Sus scrofa: one gene and its partners. The protein of the gene in region 6 interacts with the protein of the main gene of each other region in a pairwise test. Links are inferred from orthologs where the notes say so. Each region holds a gene or a part of one and is shown on either strand. Other genes may lie near its edges.

Evidence for each region.
Region 1: the proteins of EFEMP2 (region 6) and UBQLN1 interact in binary tests that used the Homo sapiens proteins (3 or more experiments, as listed by UniProt). The link is inferred for Sus scrofa from reciprocal best matches to the Homo sapiens genes EFEMP2 and UBQLN1.
Region 2: the proteins of EFEMP2 (region 6) and AMMECR1 interact in binary tests that used the Homo sapiens proteins (3 or more experiments, as listed by UniProt). The two-hybrid records come from large-scale screens. The link is inferred for Sus scrofa from reciprocal best matches to the Homo sapiens genes EFEMP2 and AMMECR1.
Region 3: the proteins of EFEMP2 (region 6) and CREB5 interact in binary tests that used the Homo sapiens proteins (3 or more experiments, as listed by UniProt). The two-hybrid records come from large-scale screens. The link is inferred for Sus scrofa from reciprocal best matches to the Homo sapiens genes EFEMP2 and CREB5.
Region 4: the proteins of EFEMP2 (region 6) and NUFIP2 interact in binary tests that used the Homo sapiens proteins (3 or more experiments, as listed by UniProt). The two-hybrid records come from large-scale screens. The link is inferred for Sus scrofa from reciprocal best matches to the Homo sapiens genes EFEMP2 and NUFIP2.
Region 5: the proteins of EFEMP2 (region 6) and IL16 interact in binary tests that used the Homo sapiens proteins (3 or more experiments, as listed by UniProt). The two-hybrid records come from large-scale screens. The link is inferred for Sus scrofa from reciprocal best matches to the Homo sapiens genes EFEMP2 and IL16.

What each region holds. Positions count from the first base shown.
Region 1 is NC_010452.4:31,313,916-31,318,021, forward strand, and holds the end of UBQLN1 (ubiquilin-1), read left to right. Parts: coding exon 1-133; intron 134-1,608; coding exon 1,609-1,761; 3' UTR 1,762-3,606; downstream 3,607-4,106. UniProt on the Homo sapiens protein: Plays an important role in the regulation of different protein degradation mechanisms and pathways including ubiquitin-proteasome system (UPS), autophagy and endoplasmic reticulum-associated protein degradation (ERAD) pathway.
Region 2 is NC_010461.5:90,312,208-90,315,707, forward strand, and holds part of AMMECR1 (AMME syndrome candidate gene 1 protein), read right to left. Parts: intron 1,858-3,500; coding exon 1,767-1,857; intron 338-1,766; coding exon 241-337; intron 1-240.
Region 3 is NC_010460.4:43,851,977-43,855,476, forward strand, and holds part of CREB5 (cyclic AMP-responsive element-binding protein 5), read right to left. Parts: intron 2,744-3,500; coding exon 2,513-2,743; intron 1-2,512. UniProt on the Homo sapiens protein: Binds to the cAMP response element and activates transcription.
Region 4 is NC_010454.4:45,496,588-45,500,087, forward strand, and holds part of NUFIP2 (nuclear fragile X mental retardation-interacting protein 2), read right to left. Parts: coding exon 2,458-3,500; intron 1-2,457. UniProt on the Homo sapiens protein: Binds RNA.
Region 5 is NC_010449.5:50,095,937-50,099,391, reverse strand, and holds part of IL16 (pro-interleukin-16), read right to left. Parts: intron 622-3,455; coding exon 363-621; intron 135-362; coding exon 9-134; intron 1-8. UniProt on the Homo sapiens protein: Interleukin-16 stimulates a migratory response in CD4+ lymphocytes, monocytes, and eosinophils. Primes CD4+ T-cells for IL-2 and IL-15 responsiveness. Also induces T-lymphocyte expression of interleukin 2 receptor. Ligand for CD4.
Region 6 is NC_010444.4:6,453,665-6,457,954, forward strand, and holds the start of EFEMP2 (EGF-containing fibulin-like extracellular matrix protein 2), read left to right. Parts: upstream 1-1,490; 5' UTR 1,491-1,589; intron 1,590-1,946; 5' UTR 1,947-2,006; intron 2,007-2,314; 5' UTR 2,315-2,321; coding exon 2,322-2,432; intron 2,433-2,658; coding exon 2,659-2,707; intron 2,708-3,317; coding exon 3,318-3,524; intron 3,525-4,290. UniProt on the Homo sapiens protein: Plays a crucial role in elastic fiber formation in tissue, and in the formation of ultrastructural connections between elastic laminae and smooth muscle cells in the aorta, therefore participates in terminal differentiation and maturation of smooth muscle cell (SMC) and in the mechanical properties and wall integrity maintenance of the aorta.

The DNA of each region.
Region 1 (4,106 bases), on a different chromosome or scaffold from region 6:
AAGCTCTTCAGGAACCAATGGCTCTAATTCTGCACCTAGTGAAAACCCAAGTCCCACAGCAGGAACCACTGAACCTGGACACCAGCAGTTTATCCAGCAAATGCTGCAGGCTCTTGCTGGAGTGAATCCTCAGGTAATGATTTTTAATGTTAGAAATTTGGAAATTTCAAAAAAATAAATACATTAAAAAGAAAAAGTGGCTGTGCCTTTAGGTTTAGTCTATAGTAGAAAGCACATTCTTAAGGATATTGATTCTAAAAAACAGGCATTACGAAAGTTGTTAACTTTGGTACTGTATTAGACACTAAAGGAAATGTTGTAGTTGTAGGGAAGAAAGAAGTGATTTGCCTTAATTTTTGGAAGTTGCCTTTAAAAATGCATTCTTTTCTGGAGTCCCTGTTTGGAAATTATTTGAAATAGGTTATATTTTATAAATACAAGTTTGTCAGAAAAGAACAGAAACTTCATTGTCCCAGATACCTCTTGAACAATTATATTCTGTCTAGTCATTGTACTTTGAGTTTTAAAAAGTCCTAACTGCCTCACCCACCCACGAGTGCCTCCTGTGGTAACTTGTATCACTTTTATACACCTCACAAATGGCTGAAAAAGGTGAACTAATGATGTTCTTACATCTGGAAACATTTATTTACTAAGAATATGCCATTATACAGATGGTTGCTAGTTCATACTTACTACAGTAGCTTGTCCTTAAACTTCTGTGGGGCGAAACACAATAAACAGGTCAGAGTTTTATCTTATGTAAGTATTTGTATTCCCAATATAGAGCATAACTTGCTCAGTAAATATTCTTGGAATAAATTTAAAAAAACGATGTCATGTATTAGACAAAGTAGTTATCTAAGGTGAGCAATCTACAGACCTCACTATTATCAGGTTGCCCAAAATTGGTGATTTATGTATTTTTTTTTTTCTTAACATCATTTCTGAAAAAGATGCAATTGAACAGTCAGAGTATAATCTGTGCATCTGAAATAGGAACTCTTTTCTGAACACTTAACTAGCCAATAGAGAAATCTATATTCTGAGTCACATTAAAACTTAGAATTTTATACATCAAGACACTGGCTTTTGTAATTACCCAGTTGGTCACTAGCTACAAAAGAAATAATCTAATGCTAAACTACTTGCATACCTCTTTTTTTTTTTTTTTTTTTTTTTTTGGCCTCGCCTGTGGCATACAGAAGTTCGTGGGCCAGGGATTGAACTGGCTCCACAGCAGTGACAACACCAGATCCTTAACCTACTGCACCACAATTTTGCATGCCTTTAAACATACTTGTTAAAGTTTTCCTGAATGTTCTATGAGCTTCTTAAGTGAATCTAAAATAATGGTTGACGTTTATTAAGCTTTTTTTAAAAGCAGAGTTATGTGTTCTATTTGACATAATTGTTTAGGTATAGACTGTTTAAAGTGATAACTGGATTTTAAATACGTCGAAGGTTTCAAAAGAGAGGCCAGTGCTTTTATAGCTCAGTAGACTAGGATATGTTATTTTGAAAAGCAGTTTAAAAATTTAAAAGATTATTTTGGTGTGACATGGACCGATTTTCCTTAAGAGTTTTGGTTTGTTTTTTTCTTAACAGCTACAGAATCCAGAAGTCAGATTTCAACAGCAACTGGAACAGCTCAGTGCAATGGGATTTTTGAACCGTGAAGCAAATTTGCAAGCGCTAATAGCAACAGGAGGTGATATCAATGCGGCTATTGAAAGGTTACTGGGCTCACAGCCGTCATAGCAGCCTTTCTGTATCTTGAAAAAATGTAATTTATTTTTGATAACGGCTCTTAAATCTTTAAAATACCCGCTTTATTTCATTTTGACTCTTGGAATTCTGTGCTGTTATAAACAAACCCAATATGATGCATTTTAAGGTGGAGTGCAGTAAGATGTGTGGGTTTCTCTGTGTTTTTTTTGTTTGTTTGTTTTTTTCTGTTTTCCTGGAACAGTGGGAATCAATGCTTTTTCATTTAAGGCTACTGCATGCATCAAACACTTCTGCATTGTAATTTTTAAAAAATATATCACCTTTTATAGTTGGGTGAACAGAATTTTTGTCCAGCATCTGTCCAGTTTATTTGCTTTTTAAACATTAGCCTATGGTAGTAATTTATGTAGAATAAAAGCATTAAAAAGAAGCAAATCATTTGCGCTCTATAATTTGTGGTACAATATCGCTTATTGTGACTTTGGCATGTATTTTTGCAAACAAAAATGCTGTAAGATTTATACCACTGACAGTTTTTGCTTTATTTGTATACAGTATATGTATGCACATTTGGAACTGCATTTCTAGAAACATACTGCAGTAGATTATCTGAGCAGAACATCTGCAACTGAAAAAGTATAGATAAGGAAATAACTTTAAAGCTGAGTATTTCCTAATTGTGTAAGATCTTACAGCATCTTTGATAAACATCTTTCAGCAAAAGTACACATTAGGTTTGTTGAAAATATAGTAGAAAAGCTGATTCTGGTTATCTCTTTAAGGACGTTTAATTGTATAGACATCATAATGTAACATTGTCGCAACATTCACAGATTGTAAATTATCTTAATCTTTGTGCAGACTGAAGGAGCACTTAGTATAACCCAAAAGTGCATTCGCCTAGGACTTTTCAGCTTTTCCCATAGGTAGTTTAACAGGCATTACAATTTGTAATTGAAATGTTGCTTTCACTGAAAGTGTCTTGATGTTTCATTTATTTTTAATCGCCATATAAAAATAGAACTATCTTTTGGGTTTATCATTTTTCTCATGCACAGGCAATACATGAATTTAAAATGATTTGTGAGCCACTTGTTTCTGAAGTGTTTTGGTAGTTCTATTAAGAAATAGTTAAATATTGTGCTTTTCAGAGCCTGAGAGAAGGGGAATTTGGGGGGTGGGGAGGGGATCTATCCTGGATTGGGCCAGCCTAAATAATACTGGCAACCAAGATTCTGTTAGGATTTCTGTGCATATAGTGTAGTAAAGAAGTATCATTCAAGGGTGAAAACAGAGCCGTTTTAACAATGTTGAGTACATTTGGCTGTTCTACAGCTTTTTCCTTCCTTCCCCAAAGAAGTCGTTTGCCTAACTCTCAAACTGTTGGGGTGGTACATTCCTTTAGGACCAATTAAAACATAACTTTTGGGTCAGTAATATATTTGGCTGACTCTGATGCAGTATTCTCTTAGGTCATTATATTCTCTCATGTACAGTTACAGGAAATTAAAATGTTAAAGTAACCTAAAATGAATTCAGACCAGTAAAATCAAGGGAAATAAAGTTGAATTCCATTACTTCTGTAAGTTGCTTGCTATTAAAAAAAAGTAAAGAGGCCAGGTTGCCCACCGTTTTGTGCACTGTTGTGACACTTTCCCCAGGAAGAAAACCATGTACAAAGGTCGAGGTGGAGGCATGACGAAGAGGAAGTTGTTAAGGATGGTATTCATGTGTCTCTGTGCTCTCTTGCCTTATGCCTCAGTACGGTTGAAAAACTTGTGTACTGGCCAATGGTGGTATACAGTATGGGATAGTGTCATAACCAATTTGACAATTTATTAATCACAAAATAACAATAAATCTCTAGCTTTTACACTTGTTTGTCTTGCTTTTTTTGTAGAAAGAAAAAGATGTCTTGCTCAAACTGTCTTTTAAAGACTATTGAAGTTGATTTACCTTAGACTTTATCACACTTGAGATTATTTTTTGTTAATTTTTTTTTGTTTGCAATTGAAATATGTGCATGTATACCATATAGTGTGTTAAAAAGAGCCAACAGAGAAGTTAGGTGGCCTGGGCTTTGTTCACTCCTTTTGGTATGTGATTAGTTAATTCGCCTTTTGAATCAGGGCATTAGGATTTCTTCACTGTGGAAAGTGGTGGTGAGGCCTGTATACAACACTCACTAAAGGGTCTCCTGAGTACCTTTTAATTGTTGTACTGGTGTGATTTTGTTTTTTTGTTTTTGTTTGTAGTATGTTCATCTTAGATCTGAATTATCTTTTTAAGGAGTTCAAACTCTGTACAATTCTTAAAAGCACAAAAAAGAATCTTGAAATACTGTAAATTGTTCTCATGTTAGTTTATTACAAAAT
Region 2 (3,500 bases), on a different chromosome or scaffold from region 6:
CAAAGCCAGAGGAATCACACAGAGTGAAGATGGGCTGGGTGGGCCCATACATCATACAGGCTTTGCTGCCAAGCAGAGGTTCCACTGTTATCCGCCCCTCAGTATGGCCCAGCCATTCATTTCCACTCTGTTTCAGAAAAGAGAAGCAAGCACAGTTAGAGAGACCAAAGAAATCAAAAGGTTACAGGTATACACATCAAAATGTACTAGGCAGCCTTGCACTAGGAAATGCTTCTGTACCTGGTCAGTTTTATGGTTTTCCTGAATTCATTAGTAATCGGAGCTTTGTATCCTCCTTTCCTCAGTAAGGAGTCTATGGTCTGAATATGGTCCCATCCTGTGGAGAGTAGACCAGATAAAATACCAGTCAAGCACATGTAACGAGCACCTGTGGTCAAATACAAAATGACTTTGTAGAGGTCAGCGATCACTGTCACCAAATGCCATCAACCCCTTTGGTCCTAAAAACAGTCACACAGAAGAGCTAAGGCTGCATCGGGTACAGAAGCAGGTACCGCCCAGTACGCCTTATATCCTAGCTATACCCCCGATGGCTAGCAACCTTGGCCTCTTTATCTCAACCGCATTCGGAGGCAAGGAACCCAAGAGGCTGGCAGTAACGGCTCTGTCGTGTCTCACATAACAAACCACAAACGCTGTGCCCTCCTCCACCAGGGACAGCTTTAAAAGGGAGGGAAAAGCCTCACTGAGCCAACGCAGTAGTAGTTAGGACTCCCACACTAACTCATGGTCATTGCCATGTTTAGCAGCATCTTCTGTAGTCGATCAAGGGCATCTGTGTGCAGTATTCAAAGGCGTTTTTATTGTTTCTGACACAGGATGGATACTCATACCCGAGGCCCTCTACCTCTCAGGTCTGCTTTACAGAGTCACGGAATGCAACTACAGAATTAAGACATTTTCTAAAGCAACCCAGATCTTCAGATAGCTGCTTGAAAGACTGACTCTCTCGTTTGGGGGTGTGGGGGGGATTTAATGATATTAAATTTGGCAGTTATACATCTCACATTTACATGAAACAGATATGGGAAAACGAAGTACAAATGCTTTCTGATGAGAGGAAACGCTCCATGAGATAAAGAAGAGACATTGCTTTGAGCTAACCTGACACCAGAATTTAGCAGTGGGTGGAAAGGAGAGGACAGTGCAGAGTGAAATGTTATTTTGTGTGGCAGTGGTAACTCATAAAGGTGTGTGCTACGGCGGTAAAACGGAAAAAAAGTTTGATTAGGAACATGTAAAACACTAAAAATGGTTCATATTTTCTCAATGCTCCTAATCTTCATGGGAAACCTACGATCGTAACGGCAGCACAGGAAGTAATGGGAACCAGCTAAGAAGGAAACATTTGATACTGACAATGAACTGCGTGGCTGGCCGCCAAGCGAAAGGCTGATTTATGCCACGAGGCTAGAGTACAGTGGAATATGGGAAGATGGCACCTCAAATTCATAGCAAACCACTGCCTAAAACAACACTCAATTTTTACAAATCTTTGCTTTTTTTTTTGAAAGTACACTTTTGTATGTTTTTGCCGTCAAACTTTAGTGCAGAGGTGCAACTTTTGTGTGAAGTCACCGATTTCATTCAGACATTGCAGTGGCAGTGAGGGAAGAGTCATTTCTTATCATTAATTTGACAGTGATCAATTATCAGATAAAACTGCAAGGTCAGATAGCGCATTTCAATTTGTGTATTTGTTTCAATTCTTCACCAGATCATATGAAATAAAGTACAACAATGACCTTGCTCCTTTGCAACCTCCGGTAGGTAGGTGGCGGTGCGTTTTGATCCTTTTTCATTGATGAATTCTATTCTAATGCCATGTACACCCACCTGAAAGAAATTGGCAGTTTTATTAGTACAGTCTTCTTCATAGAAACAGAAAGAAAAAGTTATAATTTAACTTTCAAGAGAATGCAGTTCTTCCTTTCCCCTTGTTTTTGGAAGGGCATGTCTGTTTTCTCTTTCCGAGACACTGACTTTGGGACTGAAGGTCGTGATGACAGCCATGGAGGCTCAAAACATCGATGTGCATGTGACCAACATGCGCTGGGCCACGCCATTCTGTTTAGAACCAGAACCACCATGCTGCGCCTGGGTGCAGAATAAGACCATCAACGCCAAGAGTCCTGCCCTCCCCCGCCCCTGCCCCAATTTGTGGCTCATGACAATAAGGGGCAAGATCCAGGGAAGTGACTTCAGGGAGAGAGCAAACAACCCTCCTGCTTTCAGGGATGATCACCGTTTCAGATGAAGTCCCCACATTTCTGGGGCTGCTGATTCCCATCCCAAACTGTCTAGTAAACCTTGACTTGTATGTACATAAACAAACAGAGAAGACCCCCCCCCCAAAAAAAATCCAACCAGATCCTATGAGCTTACCCATTACAGATTGTATTTCTAAAAAAATGTATTATGGCCAGTGGCAAACCCTCACCGTCTATCTACAAAGCTGCTACCAAATCTAAAAGCAATAAAGATTGTGAATTGCTTCAGGGCAGGGCGTTTCTGCACAGCTTCTCATATACCAACCCAGAGACCACTATAACTTTATCACGTGAAACAGACAAACTTTTGGTGGCGCCCTAAAAAAGAGTCTAAGTAAGTAAGTGTGTGCAATTTCTTGCCAATGGTTTAAGAAAAGTTACATATTGTTTCTTTGAGGTAACATTCAACCAGAAGAAAGCTGTCCTCTCCCCTCACGTCTCACAGAGAATAATAGTGCAGAGAGGAAAGATCATTAAAAAGTTCTTGACGTCCTTAGATACACTGATAATAAAAATGGCATTTCAAAAGTATAACCTCTCCATTCTCTTCTCCCCAATCTGTGGTTGTTTAGATCAGTGGTTCCCACGTGGAGGTTAAGATCGTCCAAGGTCCTGGAGGGAAGATGTTAAGACCAGGTAAACATTTTTACCTGAGAAAGAGGCTTCTTTGCAGAGCAGGCGGTTACACCCATACATCTGTATGGATTGTCAAGGTCTAGAAGAGGCAGAGGGGGTCCCCGAAAACTTCTTTTGCTTCTTCTGTGCTTACTGGCCTTTTTCAGAGAATAAAAACTCCTCTGGAGTTCCCGTCGTGGCGCAGTGGAAAGGAATCCGACTAGGAACCATGAGGCTGCGGGTTCGATCCCTGGCCTCGCTCAGTGGGTTAAGGATTCTGGCGTTGCCCTGAGCTGTGGTGTAGGTTGCAGACACGGCTCGGATCCCGCGTAGCTGTGGTGTAGGCCGGCAGCTCCAGCTCCGATTCGACCCCTAGCCTGGGAATGTCCATATGCCGCGGGTGCGGCCCTCAAAAGGCAAAAGGCAAAACAACAACAACAAAACCTCCTCTGGGAAATCCTTTTCATTTTTCCTCCCAGGTCTTCTGCACATCCATCCATTAGCGTCTGTCCGATCTTCTGATCAGTTTATGTTTTTTATGAAAGCCTATCTCTGTGGCTCTTTTCTTCTATCTAAGATCAGTATTCGTATGAA
Region 3 (3,500 bases), on a different chromosome or scaffold from region 6:
AAGCAGTGGTTGGAAGACACCAACAACTTAGTCTTTTTGAAGACCATCCCTTCCCCAGGCATGGCTTGAACAACCAAAACATTGGTGCCTGCTGAACGGCCCAAAGAGAACTTATTTTTCCCCCTGATATTCAGGAGCTATAATTCTAGCATCTCTTAAACTTAGCTGATTTGGCTCTAGATGTGAAAATCAATATGTTAGGTTCTCATATGTTTACCTGACATGTTAAGTAAAAGCTAGAACATATGCATATGTCAAGTCATGAACCTTCTGACCTCAAAGTAAACCAGCGTCCTTACTTTTCCTGGCTCTCTGCCATGACCCCCTCCCTGTCTTCATGCTCCAGAATGATAGTCAATACCCTAGAGTCATTCTGCAGGGATTCATTTTAGTTAAAACTGATTTAAAAATGTATCGGCCTCTGACTCCATGTCAGCTGGCTGCCCATGGCTCCTTCATCTAGGCCAGTGATTCTCAATTGAGGGTAATTCTGCCCCCTAGAGGGGACATTTGGCAATGTCAGGAGACGTTTTGGTTCTCACAACTTGAGATTCGGGTAGAAGGTGCTACTGATATCTAGTGGCTAGAGGTCAAGAATACTGCTAAGTATCTACAATGTGCAGGAGACAACAGAGAATTCTAGAGCCCCAAAATAGTAGCGCCAAGATTAAGAAAACCAACACCCGTCCATGGTCCTCTTGTGGACCTTGGAACTGGCTGCAAGTTCCAGAGGTTCTCATACTTCAGTCATTACAAAACCACTGCAGTTATTATTTGCTGGGTCACATACACCAGGACTTTTATTTACTTAACGTGTTTATACAACTTAACTCATTTTTTTAATGACTTAGTCTGGTCATTACCAAAAATACCTGTGAAATTGAAGGTCTGATGTTCTAATTACACTTTGCGATACACATGAACATTGAAATATGATTATTAATATTAAAAGTGTGTACTCGTGGTCTACTTAAAAGTTTCCCACATACTACTATGCCTGCCAGATTCTAGAATTATAGACTTTTAAGTCAGAGAGGCTTCGGAGGTGTTTGAGTCCCGCCATCCCCCTGCGGCTTGATTCCCTCAATCACATCCTCGCCCAAGTGGTCAGGCAGCCAGTTCTTGGACCCTCCAGAGGGTCCAAGAACTCATTCACTTATTCAACAAATAGATATTGAATACAGGCTCTCAGGAACTTTCCATGCTAGACCTGACACTAGAAAAGGAGGGTAGGAGGTCAGGGGAGAGGGTAACAAAACATAGCCCCCACCTTCATGAAGCATGCACACCAGTGGAAGGAATGATCTTATTTCCCCCATGTCTGCGATAGAGGTTTCCCAGCTCTTTCTTATGTCTGTCATATAAAGATGATAAATGTGGGGGGGGGAGTCAACCTTCATAAATTATGACAGTTGGTCCATGTATAGCCCACACGTTCTTCGTATACTTTCCATTTGTATACTGAACACCCCAAGGCCATTCCAATGTCACAGAATGAAATATTCAAAGGGTTGTGGGTTTGGCACCCTCACTGCTCCTTTCTAAGGATGCACAGACAACAGGGGGTAGGGGCGAAGGTGACCTATGAACTACTGAGGAGCAGATTCTCCCTGTTTGGGGCACTCTGTGCCCTCTTCCCTCTACTCTTTAGCCACTCTCTCTGCTCCTGGAAGTACTGGGTTATAATCCACATTTTTTACTGCTATCCCTACACTGCTTCGCATAATCTAATACTTGCTTTTTCATTTGCTGGTGAACCATGCACTCCTTTCCATATCAGAACAAATGCCCTAAACTGCATCATCTGTGAGGCATGAAGTCCGCTTGGAGAAGCCCGAGGTCCTCGAGTTTCTCAAACACTCCTAGAAACGGCCTTGTTATAAAATGCCCCCCATTGGGCCACCCATGAAATGCAAAACTCATGCAAAAGTCGAATATTGTCAAGTTTGAAATGAGATGGAAACAGGCCTTTTCTTATGGAACAAAATAATAAACACAAACTCCCCTCTCCCCCTTAAACAAAAATACAGATAATCTGGTATAAACTGAAGCAACTCCTCATCCAGCGAACATAAAGGATCGCCTTTCAGTTGAGGATTTATGATGTGCCAGGCACTGTGCCAACGACTTTGGAGACGTTAGTTCATTTATTCCTCCCAATAACTTTATGAGGCTATTATTCCTATTTTACACATGGGGACACTGAGAGCCAACGAGGTTAAACACAGCACATAGGTGCTGAACAAGAGTTTGAACCTCTGACCAAAGCTTCTGCTGCCAGTCTTACAACTTAGTTGGGCAGAGTCTCCCGCCCCAGAAGAGATTGCTTTAAAACTGAACAGTTGTCTTGTTTGGCAGAGTGTCTCAGAATTCATCAAGCTTGGGGAGTAAGCCTGCAGTTGCTCTGTGGGCTAACGGGTGGCCTTACTTAGGTCAACAAGCGCCTGCGGGGCAGGACATGCCAACTGTACACAGGGCCTTTGAGTGTGGGGCGAGAGACAGTGGCCTGCACCTGAAGCTGCATGTTTGTCTGGGTGAGTTCTTCTGCTTTCTTTTCCAGTGACATCACCCAGACCTTCCTCTTCTGTCTGCAGCGGGTGGCGGCGGCCCGGTTCCGTTCCAGAAATTTCCTCCGCCTTTCGTCGGGATCCTCATCCACCACCCTTCGCCGGCGCCCCCCTGTGGGCTGGGGCGGCTGTATCGTCTGGGTGGGCTGCATCTGTTGTGTCGCTGGTGAGACCTGCTGGGAAAGGGAGGGAGGGGGTGAGGGGGAGAGAGAAGGGACGAGGGGGTAAGGTGTTGACATGCAAAGCACAGAGAGCCGTCGGTTGCGTGCGTGAAGCACGTCCAACGTGGTTTCTAAGAATGAAGTCAGTGACGCCACCACGCTCAGGAGGAGGAGACGCATCGCCCGGCTATCTTCTATGATATTTTGGCCAGATAAAGCGATACCTTGTGAAAAGGAGTCAAGGAGATTTTTTTTTTTTTTTCCCCTGAATGGCATCTGGCTGAATCAGGATGAAAGAAACATTTATTCTCCTCTGATGCTAAAAACGTTTTAAGGGGCGTTGTAAATCGTGAAAGCGCCCCCGTGTGGTGATGGTCACAGGTGAAAACAGAGAGGACAGGGTGATGGTCATCCTATGGATGGGTCTTCTGGCAGGTACAGAAAAGTCGTCTGGGGCAGGCGGCGAATGCCTTTCATGTGTCAAAGCCACGTTCCTAGAACACACCTCTGGGCCAGCATCACCTCTGTGACGCCTCTCAAAAGAACCCTGCGAAGCCTGGAAAGCGGCTCAACTCCTTTTGTCACAAGATCACAGTTCTCCATCCAAAGGCCTGGCTGGACCTGCAAACTCCAGATGGGTCTGCCTCCTCCTCAGAGCTTGACCGAGGCAGAGGGAGCCACAGGAGGGCTGTCAAGGTGATTGAGCAGCAGGGCCTTTGAAAGTCCCTGCCCGAAGCAGCAAGGAGCCCTGTAATTCATCCACCAGGGAGAG
Region 4 (3,500 bases), on a different chromosome or scaffold from region 6:
ATCAAAAGTTGTAAAAGAAAATCCCCAAAACAAGAATTCCCATCAGTTTTTTTTTAATGCCTCACTGTATCTTCATTTCTTATCAAGTAAACTGAATTCAAATTTTTTTAAATCTGCTGTAATGTTTAAGGCTGCAAGTAATTAATGTTTCATCTAAAAAATGTACCATTACTATTAAACTGACATAATGCATAAATAAAGTTGCTAAACAGCTCATTTTCGAAGTCAGCAAGTATGCACAGAACTTTCCATTCTAAGCCTAACTTCATTCAACTTACTAAGAAATTACTTTAAACATTTAAAGACCACACTAAGCCACCAACAAAAAAATACGAGGTGTTCTTTTAAAGGATATTCCAATAATTCCTATTGGTTATTACCTTTTAGCACCTAAGAAAACTTAAAAAAAAAAAGAGGCAAGCCTTCGTTGAAGAAAAAGATCTTTCTATCCTCAAAAGACTATGACTCAAAGCAAATTTAAATAAAGGAAAAATTAGTGACCTAATGGACCAATCTACATTCAGCAGGAATTCAAAGAACTGCCACTCTGGGACCTAACTGAACTATTATTTGTTTTTGTTCTAGGGAGGAAAAAACAAACAATACCAATTTCATCCCAGTAATGTTCAACTACACAACTCAACGTGATAAGACTTTACTAAAGCAAATCTTTCAGTAACATCAGCAAAACTAAACACAACTGCATCTAGGTAGGGGCATTTGGTTTAACTAAATACCACTGATTTATTTTATATTTAGTTAGCTTACCAACAGGGCAAATGCATACAGAATACTTGAAGATAAATAGGAATGTCCCATTTAAAAAGACCTGCATTTCTCCATAATAATCACACATTAAACCACCAACCAAGAACCTAGTAACAACTTGCCCCAGGATTTTTCCAGGTTGTGGGACAACCAGATATCCTCAGGCTCAGGCAACCATCACCAGTATAACATACTTTAATAAAGTATAATGATCTCTGGAGGGAAGATGGCACAGAAAGTAACATCAAAAACACTATAAACTTCCCCTGACAGAACTTAACTTTTAATTAAGCAATGTCTTAAGAAACTTAAGTATTTTTTTACTCTAACTCTCCTAAAAGTATCTGGCTCCTGGTTAACTCACATTTACTTCCAAAGAGCAGTGCTGGAGAAAAGTAAAAACAAACCCGAGCCACAGCAGTGACCATGCTAGATCCTTAACCTGCTGCACCACCAGGGAACTCCTTTACTCCCATTTTTTAAAGCAAAAAAATTTAAAGGGTTATCTATTTTACTAAACATCTTAGTCTGCAGATAAACAAAGGTATGGAGACCAGGTAATTTGCTTAAATCACAGGAATTGCTTTGTTATTCATCTATGAGACAGTGATTCTTCCAGGGAAAACATAATTACCTCATCTCTACTATCTGATAACATGCTGCCTCTTCCCTGCAGTTGCGTATCACTGCCTGAGCTGTTGCTAAAAAAGCGATATATACGTGCACTATATGTTAGGTGTGCATGCATGCACACATATGGAGCTGTTAGGGGAGGTTGGGGAGACTGAGAAGGAAAACTGATAACCACTGTTCTTGAAAGTGAAGAGGTGCTTGTAAAATCATGTCAACATTCATGACACAAAAAAACATTGTTTTAAAGGATTTAAACTAGTTATGCCATACAGCAAGTTTTTAAGACTTGAATAAATCGTATCCTAAGAAAGCTATTAACATGGAATTTTAAAGACATCAAATTCCTTTTTTTTTTTTTTTTTGCTTTTTAGGACCACACTCACAGCGTATGAAGGTTCCCAGGCTAGGGGTCTAATCAGAGCTATGGCTGCAGGCCTACACCACAGCAATGCCAGATCTGAGCCACGTCTGCAACCTACACCACAGCTCATGGCAATGCCTAATCCTTAACCCACTGAGCAAGGCCAGGGATCGAACCTGCAACCTCATGGTTCCTAGTCAGATTATTTCCACTGTGCCAGGATAGGAACTCCTATCCAATTCCTTTTTAATGCTGGCTTTGAGGCTATGAAAAAAAGTGCAGACTCCAAAAGCCTGGTCCCTACAATGCTAATTGTACTTGCCATTGTAGTTTGATTAAATAAGAGAAAAAAAATCGACCCGCCATCTCTTTGGACTCCTCTAAAATACTGCTCTTGCTCGTTTTAAGGAAATGAGAACTATCAAAGTGAGCTCTCTAATAAAGAAGTATATAGTATAAAAAGCAAAGGAGAGGGAACATCTGTTTCAAGAAAAAATTTATACTTTTACCATAGTATTTACAAAGACCCGGAGCTTAGAGTTTGGTATCAGCTGCTAATCCACATTGTTATTCTCAACTAAACTATGGAATTCTTAAGCTCATCATAACTTCAAAAATTCACCCTTAATAGAACAGCCAATAAATGTATGTTAAAATAATCAGTAAGAATCTTCGTATAGAAACAGATGAGTTACCTTTAGTGTGATATACAATAGCAGCCCTCAGGTCAAAAGAACCCCAGCTATCATTCCTTTCTAGGCCTCTCTGGTATCTCTGTTCTTTGGCGGAGCCTAACAAAGTGTTCGTAGGAGACGCCAGAGGATTTTGATTTTCTATCTCATAGTCCTTTGAGAGAAACACTAAAGCACCTTGACTACTGGTGTCTGCTTTTTGCAGGTCACCTATATGACTGGGTTCCAAGGATAAGGCTCCACTCTCACTAGTAGTCCCAGATTTTAGAATGCTACCCAGAACTTGAGGACTAGTCCGTTTTTCCAGCTCATAAGCCTTGGGAAACACAGGATGCTCAGTTCCTGAGGGGATTATTTCAGCACCCTGTGAAACCAAAGTGGCAGGATATTCCCCTTGAAATGTCACCTCCATCACTTTATGATCTGATGATTTCCCAATAACAGTCTCAGGGCCAGCACTGGGCTCATTGATAAATGATAAACCCCATTGATTCTGGAAGATATCCCCCAGGTTTTGCTGATCTGTCTGAGAGGGTAGATCCACTTGTGCTGTGCTCAACAGCACAGTTTGCATATTTGAAGGGTAGATAAAAAGGCTGGACTTAATTTGTTCAACAGCTGCTGAAGTCAGACTCATGTCTTGGAGAACTGAATCAGCCCCAGAGGAGATGGGTGCTAGAGTATTAGCAGCAGTAGTTAGCAGTGGCTGACCCCCTGGAGAATATACACTTGCATCAGTCCCTGCTAAAACTGGCCCATTAGAAAAGTTGGCCGAAGTAACAGATTTCAGCGCTGACATAGGGACCTGGGATAATCGACTTGAAGGTTGGGTCTGAGTTTCCCCAGCTGATGACGAAGAAGATGAAGATGAAGATGAAGATGGTGACACGGAAGAGTTCTGTACAGTTTTGTTGAGGTTTTCCTTAACTTTGCTTGCATAACTTATTTTAGGAACTATTTTAGCACTGCTATTGTCCACTGGAAAAACTGGGGGTGGTTTAAATAGGGTCCACGAGTCCTCTTTGGAGGCAACAGCAGAAGTATGC
Region 5 (3,455 bases), on a different chromosome or scaffold from region 6:
CAGCCTACCTCTGAAGATCCTGTTAACCGTCAGAGGCTTGTCTCCGTGCAGGGAGCCCTTCCCTCCTTCCAGGCTGAAGCCCAGCCCCGCAGAGGTCTTCTCCAGGGTCACCGTGCAGACTGTGGCCTCTGCTGCTGAGAAAAACACAGGGGTTTTGTTAGGGACGCCCTCTTCTCCAGCCTACAGACAGGGCACATCACGCAAGCCTGGCTGATGCGGCCAGTGAACTTGGGCCCGTGCACAGATGAACCCAGACACATCTGAGCAGCATGCAAGGCAGCCCTCATGTCACCCAGCAGCTTCCCTCACGTATCTGAAGATGAGAGGGTCCACGGGGCTCCCATCAGGCACAGAGAACTCACTGGAGTCTATGGAGATGTCACTGGCCACAGAGACGGAAGCTGCAGAATCTGTGGAGGAGTTGAGGTCAGGCGAGGCCTCCAGGGTTGGCTTCCTTGTGACAATCACGGCTTGTCTGGGGTCCCGAGCTTGACGCAGGATGGCCAGGGCATCGTTGTGTGTGGCCCCTTTGAGAGACTTGCCGTTGATGGAAAGCACTTCATTGCCCTTCTGAATAGTCCCTTCCTGGGAGGCCAACCCATTAGGGAACACCCTGTGAACCTGAGCAAAGCAAAGACGTCAGGACCCAGGACTCACCATGCTGGATCCAGATTCTTGCTGGAGCAAGATTCAAACCAGTCAGTCAAACCCAGAAGGTACTATATATATACTAGATATCTATATCTATATCTACATATCTATATATATCTCCCAGGAGATTTTATTTACACACACACACACACACACACACACACACACACACAGAGCCTTGGCTTTTTTTAAATTTTAAATGATTTTTATTTTTTCCATTATAGCTGGTTTACAGTGTTCTGTCAGTTTTCTTTTTTTTTTAATTTATTTTATATATATATATTTTTTTGTCTTTTTGCCATTTCTTGGGCCGCTCCCACTGCATATGGAGGTTCCCAGGCTAGGGGTCGAATCGGAGCTGTAGCCACCAGCCTACGCCAGAGCCATAGCAATGCGGGATCCGAGCCACGTCTGCAACCTACACCACAGCTCACGGCAACGCCAGATCCTTAACCCACTGAGCAAGGGCAGGGACCGAACCCGCAACCTCATGGTTCCTAGTCGGATTCGTTAACCACTGCGCCACCACGGGAACGCCCCTGTTCTGTCGGTTTTCAACTGTACAGCAAGGTGACCCAGTCACACATACATGTATGCATTCTTTTTTCTCCCATTACCCTCCCATATTCCGTCATAAGTAACTAGATATATTCCCTGTGCTATACAGCGGGATCTCATTGCTTATCCACTCCAAAGGCAATAATTTGCATCTATTAACCCCAGATTCCCAGTCCATCCCCACTCCCTCCCCCTTGGCAACCACAAGTCTGTTCTCCAAGTCCATGATTTTCTTTTCCGTGGAAAGGTTCATTTGTGCCGTATATTAGATTCCAGATAGAAGTGAAATCCTATGGTATTTGTCTTTGTCTTTCTGACTTATTTCACTTAGTATGAGAGTCTCTACTACTCAGCCATAAAAAAAAGAAAATAATGCCATTTGCAGCAACATGGGTGGAACTAGCGCCTCCCAGGACATTCTTAAGCCAGAGAAAATAAAACTAAATGTGCGCTAGATCAGGGCTGCTGACCAGCATCCCCTCCTTCTCCACCCAAAGCAGAGATCATTAGCAAAAATGGCCCAGTTGACCCTCAGAATCCTTCCCAACATAAGGTCCTAGACTACATCACTACAATCTTAGTTAACATTTGGTAAAAATCTTTTTTTTTTTTTTATGGCCACACCCGCAGCATATGGAAGTTCTCGGGCCAGGAACTGAATCTGAGCCACAGCTGTGGCAACACCACATGAGATCTTTTAGCCCACAGCACTGGGCCAGGGATCAAACCCTCACCTCTGCAGCAACCTGAGCCACTGCAGTCAGATTCTTAGCCCACAGTGCCAGAGTGGGAACTCCTCAGTTAAAATCTTTTGCCATACCTGCTCTGTATCAGCATTTCCAGAGGAATTTTCTCCGAGCACTGATTCTGTGCCATGTAATAGGGATTATATAAGAAAAGACTCTAAAGTCTAAGAAACTTAAGAACATTGGATAAAATACAAGTCTGATAGTGTCTACAGTTTAAAAAATATATTAGAAATGCTACAGTGCGAATTTGCATGATAGCTCTCTAAGAACAGGCAGTAACAGTGATCCCCCGGGCCAAGATGGAAAAGAATAAAAAAAAGAATGTGTGTGTGTGTGTATATATATATATATATATATATATCACTTTGCTGTATAGCAGAAACTGGCACAAAACTGTAAATCAACTGTAATTTAAAAATTTTATGAGTTCCTGTCGTGGCGCAGTGGAAACAAATCCAACTAGGAACCATGAGGTTGTGGGTTCGATCCCTGGCCTTGCTCAGTGGGTTAAGGATCCAGCGTTGTCGTGAGTTGTGGTGTAGTTTACAGACACGGCTCGGATCTGGTGTTGCTGTAGCTGTGGCATAGGCTAGCTGCTACAGCTCCAGTTGGACCCCTAGCCTGGGAACCTCCATATGCCACAGGTGTGGCCCTAAAAGGACAAAAGACCAAAAAAAAAAAATTTTAAATAATAATGCAGTGATTCCCAAAAGCGTCTCAGCAAAGACATCCTTTTTTCACAGAGAAAGTCTCAGGCCCCATCTCCTGCAGAATGCATAATTCCTGCTCTAAGAAGTCTCAACATTTTTAAAGCTCCCTCCTAAAAATTCTGGTCGTTTAACTCCAGTTAAAAGGGACCAACCCCTGCTCCAGTTCCCTTTCTGAAAAAATATGTGAGATTTTAAAAAATCTTATGTCTTTTTATTTTTTCTTTATTTTTTTTTTAAGGGCTGCACATGCAACATATGTAAGTTCCCAGGCTAGGGGTCAAATTGGAGCTACAGCTGCTGGCCTACACCACAGCCACAGCAACGCAAGATCCGAGTCACTCATGGCAACGCCAGATCCTTAACCCACTGAGCGAGGCCAGGGATCGAGCCTGCATCCTCATAGATACAAGTCAGATTGTTACCACTGAGCCACAACAGAACTCTCCCTTGGGCTTTTTAATGATGTGAGTTCTAATGCGCTTCACTGAGAGGATCGAGTGACAGCGTGCCGGGTGGTCCCCTCACTGTGCTAACTGTGGCTTGACTACTGTCATCTGAACGAGGCTCTTTGTTTCTCTAAACTGTTTCTGTGTTGGGAAAATTCTGTTAGGTGGTCAGATGAGGTCAGGGTCCCCAGGCTGTAAGATCCCAGTAGGAAGCAGAGTCTCTGCTCTGCTTCTCAGTCGCTCCGCTCTAAAGGAAGCATACGTGCCAGCACGTGCCCATCCTGAGCTGTGGGAAAGATCTGTTGAACATGGCAGGGAGTTCCCAGCTTGCTCTTGGTCAA
Region 6 (4,290 bases):
TGCGGTGTTTGCTGCAGCTACTGCAATGTGGGTACCCACTGTGCCAGGCCAGGATTCAACCTGCGTTCCAGAGATGGCACTGATTCTGTTGTGCCACAGTAGGAACGCCTATATTTCGGTCCTTTTTTTTTTTTTTTTTTTTTTTTTGTCTTTTTGTCTTTTTCCGGCTGCATCCATGGCACATGGAGGTTCCCAGGCTAGGGGTCCAATCAGAGCTGTAGCTGCTGGTCTATGCCAGAACCACAGCAACACCAGATCTGAGCCACGTCTTTGACCTACACCACAGCTCACGTAATGCCAGATCCTTAACCCACTGAGCAAGGCCAGGGATCAAACCCAGGACCTCATGGATGCTAGTTGGGTTTGTTAACTGCTGAGCCATGAGGGGAACTCCTGTATTTTGGTTCTTATGACTAGTGTTGCTATGACCATCGTGCACAGGCTTTTGGTGTGGACATACGTTTTCAATGCCCCGGGCGTATACCTAGGCGGGACATCACTGGGGCATGTGTTCACATTTTGAGAACCTGCCAGACTGTTTTCCCCAGGAGTCCTCCCACTTTACATTCCCACCCACAGTGTATGACCGTTTCAAGGTTTCAATTTCTCCTTAACATCCCCGACACTTGTTATTGTCTGTCTTTTTGGTTTTAAGGAGTTATTATTTTTAGCCTCCTCCCCCGCCCTCACCCCAGGGATGCGGGGAGAGGGGGCTGCTTAGAGGATGTGGGGGAAGGGGAGGTAGGAGCTCTCCATTTCACCCTGAACCCGAAAGGGTCACCTCAGGACCCCCTGGAATGTCCTCTCCTTCACACACCCCCCTCGGGCGGGGCTGCTATAGGGGGCGATTATGAGGACCACTTGGGGTGGGAAAGGGCTTAACAGTTCCTGCTGGCCATCTGCCTCCAGGCAGGGGTTCCCTGGACACGCAGCCCTTTCCCGTCTGGCCCCGCCCTGAGACGTGGGCAGGGCGAGACCACGCCCCTTCCTGGGAGCCAGCTCCGCCCAATCTCCTCCCCTTAAGGCGCTCCGTCTCCCTGGGAAAAGAGGCAGACAGCCCGGGGCAGGGAGGTGGGGTGTGTGCGGGGGAGACATTGGTAGGAAGATGGCCAGGAAGGTGATGGCCCCGGACCCTGGAGCCCTGCACGCCCGAGTTCAGCCCTGCTCGACTTCTCAGGGGCTTCCATTCATTCTGAGCCAAAAGTGAACTGCCGCCCCCGCCCCAAACTGATGTAGCCTCAGGGACTGAGGGCCCGGGGGAGGCCGTCCTGGAGTGAAGGGACCGCCTGGCTGAAGACAGTCCCGGGGATGGAAGGGAGAAGGGACAGAACTGGACGGTTCTGGACCTGGGAGCGTCTCTCTTCTCAGGGCGAGGGTCTGGGGACCCTGGATGAAGTTGCGGTTGTGGTATTTCCAGAATAACTGTCCGGGTGCACAGAATAACACTCTGGTGGCGCAGAGTGAGGAGGATCTGCAAGTTCCAGGGTTAGGTGGAGTCTAAGGGCCCAGGATGACATTCTGGGAGGCGCAGAGTCTGGGTCCCTGGCATTAAGATGTGGGTGCACAGGAATTCCAGGGGTGCAGATTAGGTAAGGTCTAGGTGCGCAGGATGACATTTTTGGGTGCACAAACTGAGAGCCTGGGGGCTCCAGAGTGAGTTGGGGGCTTGACATCAGGGTCAATGCCCCAGGATCCTGTGCTAAGGGACCCTGGCCTGGCGCCGGGAGGCGGCTCCGGGCGGCGCCGCGGGGGACCGGGTGGGGCCTGTGGCCGGCCGGGGGCGGAGAAGCGGGGGTCGGGGTCCCTCCCCCTGGCGCGGGCTCAGGAATCCGCCGAGGGGCGGGCGGAGGCGCCGGGGTGGGCCGCGCCGCGGCAGGCGGGCGGGGGGCGCTTCCTGGGGCCGCGCGTCCAGGGAGCTGCGCTGTCCGCCTGTCCGTCTCCCGCAGGCACTACCGGAGCCAGCCGAGCCGCCGGAGCCGCGGGCCTCCGGGCCGTCACGGGCCCAAGTGAGTGGCCGTCCATGGGGGGAGGGCGCCAGCCAGAGTCTCGGCCGAGTCGGCGGCGTCAGCACCGAGCCAGAGGCCTGCGCTCCTCGGCCCGAGCCACTGGGGGACCGGGCGGGGGCGGGGCGACCCGGGGCGGGTGGGCCCTGAACCCCGGCCTGCGTGATCAGTCGACCCCCGGCCCTGGGAGGCTCCGAAGCCCCAGACACAGTCCCGGGCGGGTGGTGTCGGGGACCAGGTCTCTGAGTCCTGGTTCGGGCAATGGGGGATCCGTGGCCCAGACGCCCTGACCCCCACTCACTACCTCCCAGCCCCAGGATGCTCCCCTTCGCCTCCTGCCTCCCCGGGTCTCTACTGCTCTGGACGCTGCTGCTGTTGCTCTTGGGGGCAGCGTCTCCCCAGGATTCGGAGGAGCCCGACAGCTACACGGTGGGGACAGTGGAGCCCCTGGCCTGGGCTGGGCTGGGCAGGGACACCAAGACCAGGATCCTGGGGTGGCTGCTGCTGGGGCAGGTTCTCCCCTCCCCTGGTCCGTGGAGCAGCTGGAGCTGTTGTTTGGAGCAGGCGGGGAGGGTGGCCAAGCTTGGGCTCTGGTCTTGGCCTGGTCAGTTAGAGGAGAGGGGGTGACCACTGGCCACCTCTGGTCCCCCTGTAGGAATGCACAGATGGCTATGAGTGGGACCCCGACAGCCAGCACTGCCGGGGTGAGTATGCTTGGAGCACCAGGAAGTGGATTGCAACTCCAGCACGGAGAGCTGCTGTGGGAGTCAGTGGCCTGTCCCCTGCCCAGCTCTGCCTGGCCGTGGCCAGCTCTGGTTCTCAGGGGGCCAGCTTAGCTGGGGGTGGAGAAGCCATCCAGGCCCCTCCCTCTCAGAAAAACATGGGACAGCCTCCTCCCACCCCCCAGGAGTCCAGAGACCAACAGGGCGCTGCCCAGAGGCATGGTTCCTGGCCACCTCCTCTAATCACTTTCCCACCCAGCTTCGTGCCATCGTGACCTGGGAGGGCAGCGTCTGCGGGGGTGGGCGAGAAGGCCTGCACCTCACTCTTGGGCTGAGTTGGGACCAGGGCTCTGGGGCGGCATAGAGACCCTCTTGGGGATAAGAGAATGGAAGTGAGTGGAGCAAGAGCCAGCCTGCCACCAGCCCTGGTGGCACTGGGAAGTGGTCCTGGGCAGGCAGCCTTAGCTGAGGAGAGTGGGAAGGCCCTTCCTGGGTCACGCAGCTTAGAGGAGGCTGCACTGGGCTCCTGCCGCCCACCCCCTCCGTGGCCAGCCCAGGAGACTGGCTGTGCCCAGCAGGCCCCTCTCCGCAGATGTCAATGAATGCCTGACCATCCCCGAGGCCTGCAAGGGGGAAATGAAATGTATCAACCACTACGGGGGCTACTTGTGCCTGCCCCGCTCGGCGGCTGTCATCAATGACCTGCATGGCGAGGGACCACCACCACCAGTGTCCCCTGCTGAACACGCCACCCCCTGCCTACCAGGCTATGAACCGGATGAGCAAGAGAACTGCGTGGGTGAGTGAGGGTCGGTTGCCCTGGTGCTGAGGCTTCCAATCCTTCTATCAAGTGTCTATCACTGCATTTTAAAAACTCACAGCTCATGTTCCTCCCTGGCTCAAAAGCTTCCTCGGGGGAGTTCCCGTCGTGGCGCAGTGGTTAACGAATCCGACTAGGAACCATGAGGTTGCGGGTTCGGTCCCTGCCCTTGCTCAGTGGGTTAAAGATCCGGCGTTGCCGTGAGCTGTGGTGTAGGTTGCAGACGCAGCTCGGATCCCGCGTTGCTGTGGCTCTGGCGTCGTAGGCCGGTGGCTACAGCCCCAATTCAACCCCTAGCCTGGGAACCTCCATATGCCGCGGAAGTGGCCCAAGAAATAGCAACAACAACAAAAAAGACAAAATAAATAAATAAATAAATAAAATAAATAAATAAAAAAATAAAAAGCTTCCTCGGGGCCGCTGGCATAATAATATCCAGCCCCTTGTCCAGATCCTCACTGTGGGGGGCCTGCCCAGCTCCCGTCCCATGCCCAGCCAGCTTCCGGGATCCTCCTTTTGATCACTGCAGGTGCACCGCGGGAGCGCTCGCTGTCAGCCTCTTCCCCTTTCCTGGTTTGCACCCCACTCCTGGGTGCTATAGGCCTCAGAAGAAGGTTCTGGAATCAATCAGTGTTCCTGGGAGCATGGACAGGGCCTTATTTCCTCTGCTTCCCTGACATGGGGTCTCCCAGGGTAGGGGTGCCGATATCCCAGGGACTCCAGACCAGCAGATTCTTATTTGTGC